Linked DNA regions of Drosophila melanogaster. The protein of the gene in region 1 interacts with the protein of each later gene in a pairwise test. Each region holds a gene or a part of one and is shown in the gene's direction. Other genes may lie near its edges. The genes, in order: Cht9, CG14968 and CG12773.

Region 1 (3,561 bases):
CAGCGAGCAGCTGTACATCGCCCGTGCCCGCCATGAGGGCGACCTCATTCCCGGCAAGCTGCATCCCTCCCACGGAGTGACCTACGTAGCCTGGGGAGGTGGTGAGCACGGCCACGCCGAATACGAGGTGCTGTGCGCCGGCGGCGGCCAGTGGTTGCCCGTGGATGCCGGAAACATCCCGCCCAACGCCCTGCCTGCCGGAGAGACCGCCGAGGGCGAACCACTGTTCATCGGCCGTGCCACCCACGACGGAACTATCACTGTGGGCAAGGTGCAGCCCTCCCACGGATGCTGCTACATTCCGTACGGCGGCGAGGAGCTGGCCTACAAGGAGTTCGAAATCTATGTGACCAACTAAGCCACGGATCGAATGTCCAACGCACTGAAACAAAACGTTTTAAATCAGTTAATCTGAGCGCTTTACAGTTCAACTGGTCGCAGAAATTTTATTTTATTTATATGTGCATTTCTACTCAAAACTGTTAAAGAATCTCTATATTATGTCGAAAAGTTTATTACATTGTTCAACGAAATTGGTTAATAAACAATAAATATGTTTAAGAAAATAACATATCTGAAATAGGCACTTATTTGCATTCATTAAGCTTGGAAATAAATATAAAATAAGCTGAATAGCTGCTTTAATTTTTCAAAAAAGTGGTGTGTTAAGATTAGTTGGATTTTGGTTTTAGTGAATCTAACAGTTCTATCGCAATCATTAATCACCTTTTAATCCATTTGTACTCAATGAAATTAGTATCAAACATTCTTTTTTTTTAATAAAATCATGACTGAAATGAAATGACTGAAATCTATAGATTAGTTTAAGCAGGCAATTGAAAATAATTTACTCCCACTCAATGAAAATCTATTCCTAATCTCATTATCAGTGAACCCATAAAACACTCATACAAAGTTAGTTGAAATGTTGGCAGTACAAGGAACATATTGCTATATATATATATATTTATACCAAAACATGTTTTCTTTTATTCATTTTTAAAATGAATGAAACATATCATATTGGCCTATTTACATTTAAATTAAGGGTATAACTGAGTCGGTTTAGTCTATCAACTATATTAAAGTCAGTAACCAGCATGTGAAGTTTTTAGGTCAGCAACTAACCTTTTTATGTTTCTTTGAACACCTGGCTTTGAAATGGCTTTAAAATAATAAAAGTATCATATTTACAGACCCAAAAATACCCTTCTGCCAATGTGAAGCTTATAAAATATAATAGTCTATATTAAATTGGTCTCATTGATTAGAGGTAATAATGTTTGGACACAAGCTTAAGATACTTATCAACTTAAAATTCGATCCAAAATATTAAAGGACAAAGTATTCATGTTCCTATTAAACCTAATATGCCTTGATTACTTAAGTTTGCCAAATATCACAAACATTTTAAATGTTGAAGTACCTCTTGAGAAAATTTACAACTTAAGGGATAGTAAACAAAAAATGAATCTGTACTTGAGATACAAATACCGGTCGCTAGTATAAATATTACAATTCAAAGCACGCGACGAAGACCCAATAAATTAGTCCGACAATTGGAGTGGAGTAGCCGACACAGCTGATAAAGATAATGGTATTGATAAGATCGGTGCGGAAGGGTATAAATACCTAGATGGAACAAGAAGTAATAAGCATTTCGTGCAATGGGAAAGTTATTGGCACTACTCGCTGTCCTCTGCCTTAGCCAGGTTATCGGTGCTGAACGTAAGTCTAATCTACGCGAATTTGGTGTTGGCTTAAAAGCTAATCGATCTGTATTCCTGATCTGTTATCCAGGCATCGTCAACTGCTACTGGGGCACCTGGGCCAACTACCGCAGCGGCAATGGCAAGTTCGATGTGTCCAATATCGATGCCGGTCTGTGCACCCATCTGAGCTACTCCTTCTTCGGAATCAACGACAATGGTGAGATCCAATCCCTGGACACTTGGCTGGACTACGATCTGGGCTTCATCAACCAGGCGATTAGCCTGAAGAACCAAAACTCCAACCTGAAAGTCCTGGCCGTGGTCGGCGGCTGGAACGAGGGCTCCACCAAGTACTCCTCGATGTCCGGCGATTGGTACAAGCGCCAGAACTTCATTAACTCCGCCCTGAACCTGCTGCGCAACCATGGATTCGATGGTCTGGATCTGGACTGGGAGTACCCCAACCAGCGTGGTGGCAACTGGAACGATCGTGCCAACTTTGTGACTCTGCTGCGCGAGATTAAGGAGGCGTGAGTAGTGGAGGAGCCACTACCGAAGCATACTTTAGTTTTAAATGATTTATGTCCTATAGGTTCGCTCCCTATGGCTATGAATTGGGTATTGCGGTGGGCGCCGGTGAATCATTGGCCAGTGCATCCTACGAAATCGCCAACATTGCTCAGCAGGTCGACTTTATCAACGTGATGACCTACGACTTTGCCATGGCCTCCGATGGCCAGACCGGTTTCAATGCCCCCCAGTGGGCCGTGGAGAACGCCATTAACTTTTGGCTGAGCCAAGGTGCTCCGGCCAACAAGCTGGTGCTCGGCGTGGGCACTTACGGACGCTCCTTCCAGCTGTCGGACTCCTCCCAGAACTGGCCGGGTGCACCGTGCCGCGGCGAGGGCTCCGCTGGATCCTACACCGGCTCTACCGGCTACTTGGGCTACAACGAGATCTGCCAGAACAACTGGCACACCGTTTTCGACTACGACAATGCCGCTCCATACGCCTACTCCGGTGACCAGTGGGTGAGCTTCGACAACGTGCTCAGTGTCCAGTACAAGATGGACTTTGCTTTGTCCAAGGGTCTGGCCGGTGCCATGATCTGGTCCCTAGAGACGGACGACTACCGCGGTCAGTGCGGTGAGACCTATCCTCTGCTCAAGACCATCAACAGGAAGCTGCGTTGGTAAAAGGAGAATCCGATTGTTAAGAATAAATGTTTGAAAATTGAAAAAAAAAACCACACTGCTGTTTGTGACTTTGGAGAATGTTTCAAAAGTTATTTCACAAGAAGTCTTAAGTGAAAACCAGATCTATCAATATGGAAACCTTTTAAACTGGTTGTAAACAAATCCGTAACAAACTTTAAATGAATTCGAAAGAAAAGCAAATAATAAGAATAATTTTATAGGGATTTAGTATCCTGTTCCAGAATCCTTTGAATCCTTCAATTGAATGAGAATAAGTAATATATTAATTGATTACTTGTGTAAATTTCTGTTTAGTCGTAGAGTATATGTATTTCAGTTATGATTATATATATATATATATATAACTTTACAACAATATGTTTTATTTAACATCATAATAATGTAAAAGTTCTCAAGTATTGTAATTTTTGATGTCAGATTTAAATCCAATTACCCATATCTACAAAAGTGCGTTATATTTTCATGTGATGACAGTAGTTCTACATTTCTAGTAAAAAGTATAAATCATGAATGAATAAATATGCTTCTTTTGTTATTCATTGAATACAAGTTTATTTATTTAATTTACACTTCATGAGTTGCCTGAATGAGTAGCTAGCAACAGTATGAGTCACATTCCAGGACGATGATAA
Region 2 (6,272 bases), on another chromosome or scaffold:
GATGATTAAGTCAAAACAACCGGTTTTCGAGGATGGGAAATCGCGGGAAGGGGCCATAAATCAAGTATAACAAGTCCTAGACGAAAGGAACTCAAAAGCAAGCGCAGATTAAGATCGATTGTTGAAATGCAGATATGCTCAGCTACTACCTGACCACGCCCACACCCGCCCAGTTCGGTGACCCACGTGCAACAATAACAGACATGCTGATGCAGGTCTCCTGCAGGCAAATCCCCTACGTAAGATAATGGATATCATTTCCGAGATTATGTTTAACTAAGAAAAGAGATATAACACTCTTACAATCTATTTTTTGAAGTTTCATTAAAAATTGATAATGAGGCTAAGAATAATAGGTGTATTTAACTTACCTTAGCTTTAAGTCTGGAAATCGGTTCTTTGGTTGTTAAGGTTCCTAAGCTCCAATTGAAGAGGCTAAATTCAAAATACACATAATTGAAAATTAATAAAAAACCAAATCCAGTGTATACGGAGAGTATAGGACTTTAATAATTATTTGACTGAATATATGTATACTTTATAAAACTTTCGCTGCACTGTTGATAAAAATAAAACACGATATCTTTACTATTTTCGCAATTAAAACAGGGAAAACGCTTAAAAATGTTTACAAATGTATAAGTCACTTTGGTTTGACGATTTAGATAAGTTGATAAGTTGACTTTTTATCAACCATACAAATGCAAATTAAGATTCTTTGTATTTCCCCTGTTTGTGGCTAGCCGATATTCACTGTATTAACAAGGACGCAAGTGGGAGCGGGGAGAGCGGTGCACGGGCAGTGTTGCTGTTGTTTTGCGATAAAAAGAGTGGAGAAAGAAAAGAAAATAACTTCCAATTTTCGCCGTTGTTGGCTTTGTTGCTGCAAGAGCAAAGTGTCGACTGAAAAGTTGGCAAAATAAAATAGTGAAAATAGCATGGGCATCTTGGATTTTGCAGAAATTCCTTTGCTTCTCCTTTTTCCGCCTCAATTGGGGGTGGCACGCATACATACAAACAGAGTGTGTACATACATACACGTATGTATGCAAGTTAATTGTGCACAGTCACAATGGTCGAAAGAGAAGAAAGGGTGCGGGTCGGGAAAATCGAGAACGATTCACAATTGCACGTGCACTGGTCGCGATTTCCGTATATCGCCTCACTACTCCGCCGTAAATTACCGATTGGGCTGCCTGCCTTCTTGGTTGCTTTTTGCCGCACTTGGAGCGGAGCGAACAGCACAGACACAGATGTACAGCGCGGGTCCACGAATTTTTAATAAATAATTATTTTCCCGACTCAGTGTGACTGCAGCCACAGTCATCGAAAATCCATCCGGGCAGTTGGAAAATACCAATAATATATCGATAATATTTGTGCAGCTCTATCGGGTTAACAATAATGACTATCGACCGTTACAAGCGGTCTTTCAAAAATAAGTTTGAAAACTAGTAAATGTAGTAGAAACCAAAATAGGAGCCAGTAATGTAATTGAAATAAAAAACTGGCAGGCTTTTGATACATTTTGTCACTTTTAATACGAAATATTTTTGTGAAGGGCTACTTTACAATAAATCTATTTTTTTAGGCGTTACATTTCAATATAATGTAGCTTAAACTCTTTGTTTAACGCAAAACTACCAACAACTGCGTTTAACCCCTTTTAACCAACAAAAAGCTCGATGGCACTCAAGCTCAAAGTTGGTTTGTGTATTGGATGGGAAAGGTAAATGACTTACTAGTGATGTCGTGCCTTTATAAGGAAATTATCTAAAAAATAAAATATTTTGGCAAAAAAAAAGAATATATATATTTTCAGGGCAAAAGTGAGTTGTTAGTAGAAACATCCAACTTTAAAATCTTTTTTGAAGATAATATTCATGGCTAAAGCGGCATCACTGACCACGATCATTGGGGATTTCGTTAGTAGCGCGTTTACCGGCCGAGGAAACAGGTGTACAAAGAAACAAAGCCATCATAAAATCGGTAATTCCAAAGTGACTACCCCCATAATCAATTCAGAAATCAGCGGAATTATATTGAGCACGTTTCAGCATTTAGTTTAACTCAAGACTTATTTCCATTTTTCGTCAAAAAGTCAATAAGACTTTTACCTATTTTACCTTTGCTGAATTCCCCGTGTGCGTGAAGTAGTGAGTGATAAGATTAGGCGAATGGGTAAATGTTCCCTACGTGATAACAGGCAATTGGAACTTGAAGAGAAAATAAAGTGAATAAAGTGTAAATAAAAGAAACCAAATTTAGTAAATTAGTCACTGTGAATGGAAGGGAGTTAGTACGAGCTCCACATACGCAAATCTATATGTGCGACAAATGACAGTCATCGGCAGTGCCCGTAAACAAATTATGATAAAAAAGATAAATCTATTATACGAACAGAGGAGATATGCTCATATGAGCAGCTTCCGGCTTTCGTACCGCTTAAACTGAAATGTCCAGTGGAAAATTATCTAAATTGGACTGCGAGTGCTACCGAACCTGTCTCTGATATTGTTATTGTTATGGTTGTTGGCATAATGATAGTGGCAATGATATGTAGGCATATTGTATGGGGAGAAAATATGTAAAACACATATAGTATATAGTATGCCGTACAGAATAAATTGCCATTTTCGAACAACTTCTAAAATGTAAAATTCGTTAATAACCCTAAAGTAAACAACGATAAGGAGAGTACAAAGGTGAGCGTAAGGCTGAGATTTATATGGCCATAGATTGGACTAGCGTGGCAAACGTTGTAATGTGGCTAAAACAGCGGGCTTCAAATTTGGTAATATATCAAAATTCGATAGCTGTGAACGTGATCTTCCTGAAAATCTGGATCAGGCAACTTGTAAATGGCGTTAGAACAAAAGATCAGATGAGCACACAATTAGTCGTGGGTTTTGTGTCTACAACACAGGCCATTGTCACTAGTTATCCGCTTGGGTCATTGGCATTAAAATGGTAGTCAAAGTAGAACAAAAAGCTAAAAAAAAGTATTGGCTGTTGCACAGAAAGCTTCCCCTCTCGCTCGCAAATGACGTCACACAGGTGAAATGCATTGCACTGAATTTATTTCCATTCGTTTCAGTTTTGGTTTTAATTCGGTTTTCTCTCGTCGGTCATTAATTGGCAGACATGCAACTATTGCAGCATGGCCATTGTAATATATACACATGTACACATATGTACATATATCCGGTATAATGCTCCTATATTCATTGGGCAATTGGAGTGGTCAGCGGGCTGCGTGAGGAAATATTAATAATACATTTCTAATAAATAGTGTGCAGCATGGAAAAGTGCGTGTGGAAAAAGTGATTTAAAAAGTTGGTGATCGAATACCCTGCTTGAGTGGCGTTGACTGGGTTATCAATTGCAACATACTCGTTTTACCTCATAATTATTTTATGATTAGATTTAAAATGCTTTACTACTTGCGGGAATTTCCGCTGATCCACTTAAAAAAAATTGTTGCCGTTAGGAGTGCTAAAAATCACAATGTAACTCAGTCATCCTTTTGAAAGATAAGATAAAGACAATAATATAACGCATTCATCCTTTTAAGAAACGATAAGATAAGACATCTATTTAAAAGACTCATTAAGCATTTGATATTTCTTTTCACTACTTATTTCTCTCAGTGCCGGGCTGTCGCTTCTAATATCAGTTGTTTGCGCTTAGGCAGCGATACCGCGTGAGAGAAAAAAGTTATCTGAGCACTGCTTTTGTTTAGCCCATTTGTTTTGCCTGCGCTCTTTTCTGTTTACCTGCGCTCGAGTGGGAGGGAGGGGAGGGGAGGGGGACCAGGTGGCATTGGGAGCGAGTGAGAGGGAGTGGAGCTACCTGGGGGCACAACTTGCGACACCTTTTGCCGCCGATCGCTAGTTCAGTAGCAATCCGTAGCCGGCGACAGCAACAACAAGCCCAAACAGAACCATTAGTCGACCCGACCGATATTCAGCGGAATATAACATATATAGGTTCAAAAAGCGCACACAAAGTAAACCATGTAAAATTCAGCGATTACGGTAGAGATATGGTAATGCAACGGTGGATGTGAACTCCGTAAGATGGCGCATAAAATATCCGCGAGATACATTTAATGGGAGCATTACTCAAGCTCGTGTTTTTTGCGCCCTTTCAGTTGGTTTGCGGTGAATGCGTTCAACGGTGGATCTTCGCTTGCACCTTTCGCGATAGACGACATACGGATACAGATACAGCTACAGAATGGCCTCCAACAACAGTAGTACCACCGATCTGGACAGCCAGGTCAATGTGGAGGATTTGCCCATAACGTTCAAGGTGAGTGTTCACATGGCGAAATGCGTTTTCAAATTTAAATGCTGTGAAATATGTGGCGCAAGTTCAGGTACCAATCCCCATTAAGACCACTTACGTATATGACCGAAAATACACGGAAAAAAATTAGGTACACTGAAAATTAATGATAAAATGAAATGAGTATATTGGTTCCATATTGGCTACTTATACATATGACAAAATCCACTGTTAAAATGTCTATCCTAATTTCTCGATGAACTCTTTTTTTATGAGTGCATAAACGAACAAAAGCAGACATCTGAACATAATACCACCCGCACATGAGACATGACCAAAAAAAAAGAGCCAGACACGCATGCGTCACGCCCTGCTGAACTTCACTTTGGGGGCGGTGAGGGGAAAGGGGCGTGGCAGTGGCACCACATGAGCAACAGCAACAGCTTTCTGGCTTGGCTGTGGACATCCGGTCGCAGGTCGGATGCAAATGAAGCGACTCTAACGGCAACGCATGCGCAGCGGAAACCAATGCCACCGATGAATAATACCACATCGTCCATGAACATATATTTGTTTACTCACGTAAAATAGGAATATTTGGTTATATACTCATTGGAATTTTTTTTTTTTTTGACTAAATGCAGTGTAGAATCGGCAATCTTTTTTTTTTAATATATCGTATACATTTTCTCCCTGCAGGTGAAGTACATTGGTTCCGAAGTGGCACGTGGCTTATGGGGCATTAAGTATACGCGTCGTCCGGTGGACATAATGGTGGGCGTGGCCAAGAACCTGCCGCCCAATAAGGTGCTGCCCAACTGCGAACTGAAGGTGTCCACCGACGGAGTCCAGCTGGAGATCATATCGCCAAAGGCCAGCATCAATCACTGGAGCTATCCCATCGACACGATCTCGTATGGCGTTCAGGACCTGGTCTACACAAGGGTCTTTGCCATGATCGTGGTGAAGGACGAGTCGAGTCCGCATCCCTTTGAGGTTCACGCCTTCGTGTGCGACAGTCGTGCGATGGCGCGGAAGTTGACCTTTGCCCTGGCCGCCGCCTTCCAGGATTACTCGCGACGGGTCAAGGAGGCAACCGGTGAGGAGGAGGGCGAGGCCACGCCCAGCGACACTATTACACCCACGCGACACAAGTTCGCCATCGATCTGCGAACGCCGGAGGAAATCCAGGCTGGCGAACTGGAGCAGGAAACGGAGGCGTAGTTATCCTGGTGATCCTGCGTTGGCTCCGTCAATGAGATGTGATGTGTTAGTTACTTAACGTCCAGTGTTCACTGTATCTGTAAATTGTGGTTCTCTCACCTGGTAGTTGCCTCATACAGCTAATTACCCAAAGCCTAAGTGTTAATACGATTTGTAAACGATTTTCTAAAATAAATTACGAATATGGTATGTTTGGCTATTTGAATTGGGCTACAACCTGTTGATATGCCACTTGCAGTTTGTGTCCTAAGTCTTTTGATTTTTAAGCACATATATTACAAGTGGTGAAAAAAAATAAGGATTATAGAATTATTTTTAAATATTGTTACTTTATTTTAAGTTCAACTATAAGATAAAATTGTTTTAGGTTGTTTCTAAGCGTACCATCTCTACCGTTCAGAAATTGAATGCGATTAGGCAAAACACAGGACACTCAAACCTCTGCACGATGGAGTTGATTAGCTGGCCAAAAAGTGTTCCTTACCTATTTTACCCCACCTACATCAAACAATTTTGTTATTTAATTTTTAATATTTTTATTTTAAGATTTTTTTGCAATTTTTTTTGTAGTTTGTTTCTTTAACTGGTCGGAACAACAATTCTAAACTTAAATTTCAACGCTCGTCCGCAATTATCCTTTGAGAAATGGCCATAAAACTAGGAAATCAAAAAATTATTAAATTTATTTGCCTAGGTGCAAATGAGTGGGATAGCGTATTGGGAACTAGGAGGTGAACGGGGTTCCGGTTCGGGCTAAG
Region 3 (6,698 bases), on another chromosome or scaffold:
CACCGGCATCGCCTCCTCTGGCTTCGATCTGGCGCTGGCGGCGCTGTTCCTTGCGCTGCCTGTTCTTCTCGCTGCGTTTCTGGATCACCTTCTCGATGGGCGTGAGCTCGGCCTGGGCTTGCTGCTCCGGCTGTGCCTCTTCGTGCTGGGGCTCCACGTTCCAGGTCATTTCCATTTCGTACTTCTGCTCCTTCTCCTTCTTTTCCTGCTCCAGGATGTCGGCCAGCAAGTTTTTGTAGGTGGCAATGCGTTCCTGCTTAGAAGTCTTTTTGGGCTTGCTCTTCTGTGGGTCCTCTGAAACCGCCTTTTGAGCAGCCTCCTCCGCCGGGGATTCCTCTGCCTCAGAATCCTCTTCCTCACTACTGTACGCTACTATCTGGCGCAGCTCCTTGTCCGTGAGCTTGTCAACCTGCCCGCTGGAGAGCTTGTCACCCAGCTCACGACGGTCCAGCGCCGTCTCGTCCCAGGTTAGATCCACCTTGGCCTGCTGCAACGCCGTGGTGGTGAACTGTCGCGGCTTATAGCTGCTGGCATCCGGCAGCTCGAAGCATTCGTCCGACGGCGTGTCCTCCTCGAACGAGGTGTCGTCCGGGATGAAGCGCAAGTCCACGCGCGTGGCGGAGCTCTCGTACTCGATACCATCGCACTCCTTGTATACCTTGTCGGCCGTGTCTATGCTGTCGCACTCGACGACAGCATAGTAGTAGCGAAGTCGGTTTAGCTGGTACTGACGCAGCTTCTCCATGTGGTAGTCCTCCCCCTCTTCGGCATCGCTGTCCTGCTGGCGTACGAGCTCCTCATCGGAGTCGTCTTCTGGCTCCACGCGCTCCACCAGTTCCTTTGGGCCGTGCACTTCCTCCTCGGCCATGCGCGCTTTCCCGAACTCTGAGGGGTATATCTTGACGCTGAGAATGCTACCGCCGGGCGGCAGGAAGGAGCTGAGCATGACCATTAGATCCTCGGCCCGGATGCGGTCCCAGTCCATGTTGCAAACAGCCAGCCGGCGGGTGCTCTCCTCGGTGTGCTCGGCATCGTTGTCCAGTTCGCCCCACACGTGGTCTATCTGCAGTTCTGGACCCTCGTCCTCATCATCGCTGTCCTCGTCTGAGGAGGAGTCGGTATACAGGCGGCCTTCTCCGCGGGCGTAGTCTATCTCTGGGTTGGTCAGGCGCTGACGAAGACTCTGTGACACCTCGGAACTATCGCTTTCCAGAGTATCGTTGCTCTCCTCCTTCTCCAAGTTGGCTATGGCTCGCTCCTCGGCGCGCCGCTCTTGTTGCTCTGCCTCCGCCTCGGAGTCAAGATCGGATTCCTTTTTGGCAGGCTCCTCGCCGCTGCTGCTCTCGTTCTCGTCCAGTTCGTAGAACTTTCTGAGGTCCTCGGCGTTGCTCTTGTTGACCGGGCGGCCGTACTTGTCCACGGTGTACTTCACCTTGAACTTGTCGTCCGTGAACATGCCCTGGAAACGCTTGTCGATCTTGACCTTTCGCTGCACTTTTGGAACGCCGCGAAATCGGGGATCGGTCAGCAGGTGCTGGAACCGAGAGTCCTGCCAAATTCCGTTCTCCGAATCATTGGCTCCAGCTGCCTTCCCCATGTTGGCCTGCGACGAGCTCGGTGCCTCCTTCTTCGTCGTCTGCTTGTCCAGCTTCCCGGACTTGTCCTTCTTCTTGCCCATTTCCCGAGGAGCCCAGTAAAATACAAACAAAACGTAAGCACGTGCGGCGCGTCACACCGGTTTGGTTATCGATATCGGATGGTAGCGATAGAACTTAGAAACAGATAGGCGGCCTATCGTCTAACGCATATCGCAGCCCACCGAAAAGTCATCGATGACGACTTCTTGTAGTTTACCAATAAGCAAGTGTTTTTATTTAGCTTTTTGAGCGTTTATTGAGTGCGGTTACAGTTACTCAAGTGCGACCAAGACGATGCCCGCCGTTTCCCGCTTCGGTCGCCAGTGACTCGAATCCAGCGCCTGCAGCACCTCCATCGGATCTGCGATCTTCAGAGGATTCTCCACTGGCTGCCTGCGTGGATGTGCTCGCACTTGGACGTTTGGATGTTTGGGTGTAGCAGTGGGAGCGCAACGCCAAGAAATAGCAATCAGTTAATTGCCGCGATTACGCCCGAGTAGTCGTCAGATAACCCGCGAGAACAGCACAACGCAAAAACTGCTCAACTCCACGGGAGCAGCAGCAACAACAAGGCCAGCAAACAACTGCCAAAAGCGGTACGGGAAAAGCGGGGTGGAGCGGAGTGTGCGGTGCGAAGCGGAGCGGAGATGACTAATAGCTCTGAGGGCAATGGCAACGGCGGCCGACGCACTGTCGACTGGCAGAGATTTGGACTTGGCGGCGACGAGGACGGGGATGTGGCGGTGACCAGCTTTCGCCAGCGGACCAACAACAACACCGGCGGATTTGTGGATTTAGGTAACGAGTACACGTACGCGGCTGGTGGCCACCATGCGTCCGGGGCCAACGAGATCTTTGCGGGCGAGCAGGGCGACAAGCCGTGGTAAGTGAATCAGGCAACCCTTCTGGCCAGGATCCTAAGCCTCTTACTCAACAGGTGGCGCTCGAACTTCTTCATCTCCCAGCCCGTGCTATTCGGCACCTGGGACGGAGTGTTCACCTCCTGCCTAATCAACGTGTTTGGAGTGATCGTGTTCCTGCGATCCGGATGGATCGTCGCACAGGCAGGCATTCTGAACGCGGTGCTGATCATCTTTTGCACGGTGGTCATAGCTCTCGTCAGCGTCCTCTCGGCAATCGGTATCTGCGAGCGGTGCCGTGTGGAAAGCGGTGGCGTGTACTTTCTCATAGCCCACACGCTTGGTTCCCGATTCGGAGGCGCCTTGGGTTTGCTCTACTGCTTTGGCCAGGCGGTGGGATGCGCCCTTAACGTAATGGGATTTGGCGAATCAATGGCTGGACTAGTGGGACTCGAGGGCAGCAAGTGGGCCATCCGCGGGTTCGCTACGGCAGCGGTGCTCCTGTTGGGCTGCATCAACGTGGCCGGCGTCAAGTGGGTCATCAAGCTTCAGTTTATACTGCTCATGATACTGCTGATCTCGGCGCTGGACTTCATGGTGGGCAGCTTCACTAGTGAGGCCAGTGAGTACATTATTCATATGCGATTGTTAGCCATGTCCAGTGACTAATCGCTTCCTAAGTAGATTATGGCATTTTTAAATAATCTGTTGAATTTAGTTGGAATATGATTCAAAAGAAGTTGCAAAGATTTTATGCCAACAAGCTATTAATCTGGTTTTATTTGCAGGTGGCGGCTTTAATGGCTGGGCGAGCGGAAACTTCGTGGAGAACCTATGGCCAAAGTACGACGACGGCTACTCCTGGTTCCGTGTGTTCGGCGTCTTCTTTCCCACCGTCACCGGAGTGCTGTCGGGCATTAACATGAGCGGCGACTTGCGCGCGCCGTCCACGGACATTCCCAATGGCACCCTGGCCGCCTTTGGCACCTCGTAAGGTTTACACGTCGCCGGGAAATCAGTAGCTCTTGACATCTGATTTCTTTGCAGCACGTTCCTGTACTTGGTGTTCGTCCTGTTTTTGGGGGCCACCTGCCAACGAAGCTTCCTGTATACTGACTACATGATCTCTGTCAAGGTGTCTGCCGTGCATTTCCTGCTGTTGGCCGGCATTTATGTGTCCAGCATGTCCTCCTGCCTGGGCGCCATGTACGGCACTCCGCGCGTCCTTCAGAGCATCGCCAAAGAGAGCGTCATTCCGGGCATCGATATCCTGGGAAAGGGTGTAAGTACCAGTTGAACAATAAGATAAGGAAAATAACGTAATCACAACTTTTCGAAATCTTTGCTAGCGTGGTCCCAACAAAGTGCCTTTATACGCAATGGCCATCGTGGCCCTAGTCACTGTCACCTTCATTATCGTGGGAGACATCAACTTCTTGGCGCCGATCGTGACCATGCCCTTCCTGCTCACATATGCCTGTATCGACTACGCCTACTTTGCGCTGGCCCAGACCTTCGACATTCAGGAGCAGCGCGAGGAGCGTTTCCGCATCCAGGCGTCGAGTCCCAGCTACGAGACGCGCCGTTACGGCAGTGTTTCGGACACGGGCAACGACCTGGACCTCCTGTTCCCTGATCGGGTGCGCCACAAGAACCTGCAGAGTCCGCAGAACTCACCGCTGCACCAAACAGTGCCCCTGGAGTTTGACAACGAGGGTCCCAGCACCTCCAACCAGGCCCAGTCTTCGGAACGGAGAACGGGGCACGAGGCGGACACCACACTGGCCGTGGAGCAGGCAGTCGCGCAGGCCGGCGTCGAACAGGACCAGGGCGACGAGGCCGAACCGATAGCCCCGATCCGTCCGCCCATCCACTCCAAGACGAAAAACTGGTACTCCGGCTACTGTAATCGCTGGGCCTCTCTGCTGGGGGTACGTCTGCATAAAGGAGACGACGCTTCTCCGGAAAGCTTACTCATTTATGACTTTCACACAGGCCTTCACTAAACTGCTGGTTATGCTGCTAGTCAACTGGTACTACGCCCTCACCTGCTTCTTGGTGGTGTTCGTCGTATGGTTCTATGTGGGCACAGCCAATCCGGCCGTGAAGCCGGGTCTCACTGCGGAGTTTAACTTCTTCGCCTGGCTGAAGAGCGTCATATTCCGGTGCTTCGGGTGAGTTTGCTTGGCGCTTCTGAAGTATCCAACTAACTGCCATCTCGCTCCATTTGATGCACAGCAAACGGATGAACGAGTACGAGCAGATAGTCGTGACACCCTCGTGCCCAGGCGTTGATCTCTCACCCACGCAGCTCAACGAGCAGAACGAGGACTTCCGTCCGCGGCCCAACTACCACCACTCGTCCGTTATCGAGGGTCGCCTCATAGATGACATCTAGACCGAGTCCAGGGTCTAGAGCACAGGTTCACCTGTATGCGGGCCGGGCAACGGGGCAGGCGGCGTGGCTGTGGAAAGCAATAGTCGAGTGCATTTCTCTACCGCTAAGCAGTACTACGTTTAACTAAAGTGAAGTAGAGCCGGCGAGGCAGCCGAACTAAACTTAACCCTATGTGTGTTTGTAAATCTGTACGAATGTATTTGATGTATAGTTAGGATAGCGACAGCTGAGGTCACGATGGTAGTATTCCAAACTCGGTCTTAGTTCGTTTTGCTTTAACAAAATTTGGAGTCTGTGACGCATTTTAACTGGGACTCTCCCACGATGTAGTGCTTAGATAAGAAAATGTTGATAGTGTATTGATTTTTAGCTTTTTACTAGTTGTTAAAACGTTCGGAGGTCAGCCAAATCAGAGCACATTTCAGTTGCGGAGGCTCCATTCTGACCACAGCTGTCCAGTCCAGCGTTTACCACCGTGTCCATCCCCGTGTCCACGCCTCGCCCACACGCACACACCCAACTTCAGAGGACACTCACACAACAACTCAGAGCACTTTCTAATTATTAATTCTAATGTATTAATTCTTAAGCTTCGCATTCTTTCGATGTGTTCCTTGCTCTCGTAGTTCTTCAACGATTACTCCTTAGTTGAGAGCGAATAAGTTGTTGCTAAATGGATATGTTTCCAGTGTTCCGCACACAAAACAGAACGCATTTCGAGGAGACATATGTGATACTGAGATAATAAGTGAAACCAAAACCAGAAATCAAACTCGATGATTTGGCGCCTTGCATTTAAGACGACAACACACACAGCACACAGAGCACAATGAAATTGTTACAGAACACAAGAATGAGCCACATAACACAAACAACACCTAAGCTAAGCTATAATCCTGTATTACCATGTCGGTGGACAATAACAGTCCTAATTGATAATATATATAAACCTGTACCCGCGTACACTCACTCGGCATACGATATCAGCAATAACCGCACTCTATATACACCCAATATATGTATATATATCACTCGCATATATCCGATATATACACCTCACGTTGATTGACTAATGTAACCGATCCAGGAGTGTTAGGAAGATGACTAACTAACGTATATTTAAAAAATATACCCAATCGTGTCCCTTTTGTACGTGTTTAGTCTAATTAAACCTAGTTTTACGAAGCCCGTTCATCCCACGGCAAAACCCGCATGTAATAATAACAATAATAACACAATAACTGGGACGTGAAATAAAAAGTTTATGAAATTACAAACTTTTGAGTTTGGCGCCACCTAGAGTAATCGATAGATTTTCAGGGATGCATAAGCTTCTTTTGGAAGATTGGCATTGCAAAAACCTCTGCACTAATGGTGATTGCCTAAATGAAAGTGGAGCTATAATGTGCTTAGGATGGCAAAATGATATGTTTTGTTATCATCTAACTCTTAAGAATGCTAAAATAAGCCACGGTTTTGGGACCAGGGCTGCACACCCAGCGAACGCGACCGATAACCAACTCGACCTAACCTCAAAAATACAGCCCAACAATATTCGGTTAAATTCCAGATCCGAAATCACCCACACCAAGTGGGCCTAGGACTTGACCTGCCCACACCCCAAGCCCGCCATGAACAGCTTAGTGCGACGCAGCGCCCAGCAGCTGAGCCTCTGGCGTACATATTGCATAAAGCACAATGCTTCAGAGGCGGCTTCTCCCGGACGGAACGCAGGTGAGCCGATTCTGGCCGAGATCTGTTCTGTTTAATATTACTACCACTGTCCATGTTCGCCAACAGGCA

The links.
Region 2: the proteins of Cht9 (region 1) and CG14968 interact in a two-hybrid assay, tested with the Drosophila melanogaster proteins (one large-scale study listed by BioGRID).
Region 3: the proteins of Cht9 (region 1) and CG12773 interact in a two-hybrid assay, tested with the Drosophila melanogaster proteins (one large-scale study listed by BioGRID).

The regions. Positions count from the first base shown.
Region 1 is NT_033778.4:21,067,379-21,070,939, reverse strand, and holds Cht9 (chitinase 9), read left to right. Parts: upstream 1-1,653; 5' UTR 1,654-1,667; coding exon 1,668-1,728; exon of another isoform or gene 1,729-1,800; coding exon 1,801-2,242; exon of another isoform or gene 2,243-2,304; coding exon 2,305-2,908; 3' UTR 2,909-2,948; downstream 2,949-3,561. Other genes in the region: CG10527 (uncharacterized protein), read left to right, coding at 1-358.
Region 2 is NT_037436.4:3,298,765-3,305,036, reverse strand, and holds CG14968 (uncharacterized protein), read left to right. Parts: upstream 1-1,924; 5' UTR 1,925-1,989; intron 1,990-2,620; exon of another isoform or gene 2,621-2,705; intron 2,706-3,894; exon of another isoform or gene 3,895-4,153; 5' UTR 4,154-4,239; coding exon 4,240-4,314; intron 4,315-4,989; coding exon 4,990-5,514; 3' UTR 5,515-5,701; downstream 5,702-6,272.
Region 3 is NC_004354.4:1,349,075-1,355,772, reverse strand, and holds CG12773 (uncharacterized protein), read left to right. Parts: upstream 1-1,791; 5' UTR 1,792-2,284; coding exon 2,285-2,520; intron 2,521-2,574; coding exon 2,575-3,119; intron 3,120-3,285; coding exon 3,286-3,487; intron 3,488-3,544; coding exon 3,545-3,779; intron 3,780-3,846; coding exon 3,847-4,428; intron 4,429-4,492; coding exon 4,493-4,671; intron 4,672-4,735; coding exon 4,736-4,895; 3' UTR 4,896-6,150; downstream 6,151-6,698. Other genes in the region: CG11417 (uncharacterized protein), read right to left, coding at 1-1,678; MTPAP (mitochondrial poly(A) polymerase), read left to right, coding at 6,527-6,629, 6,696-6,698.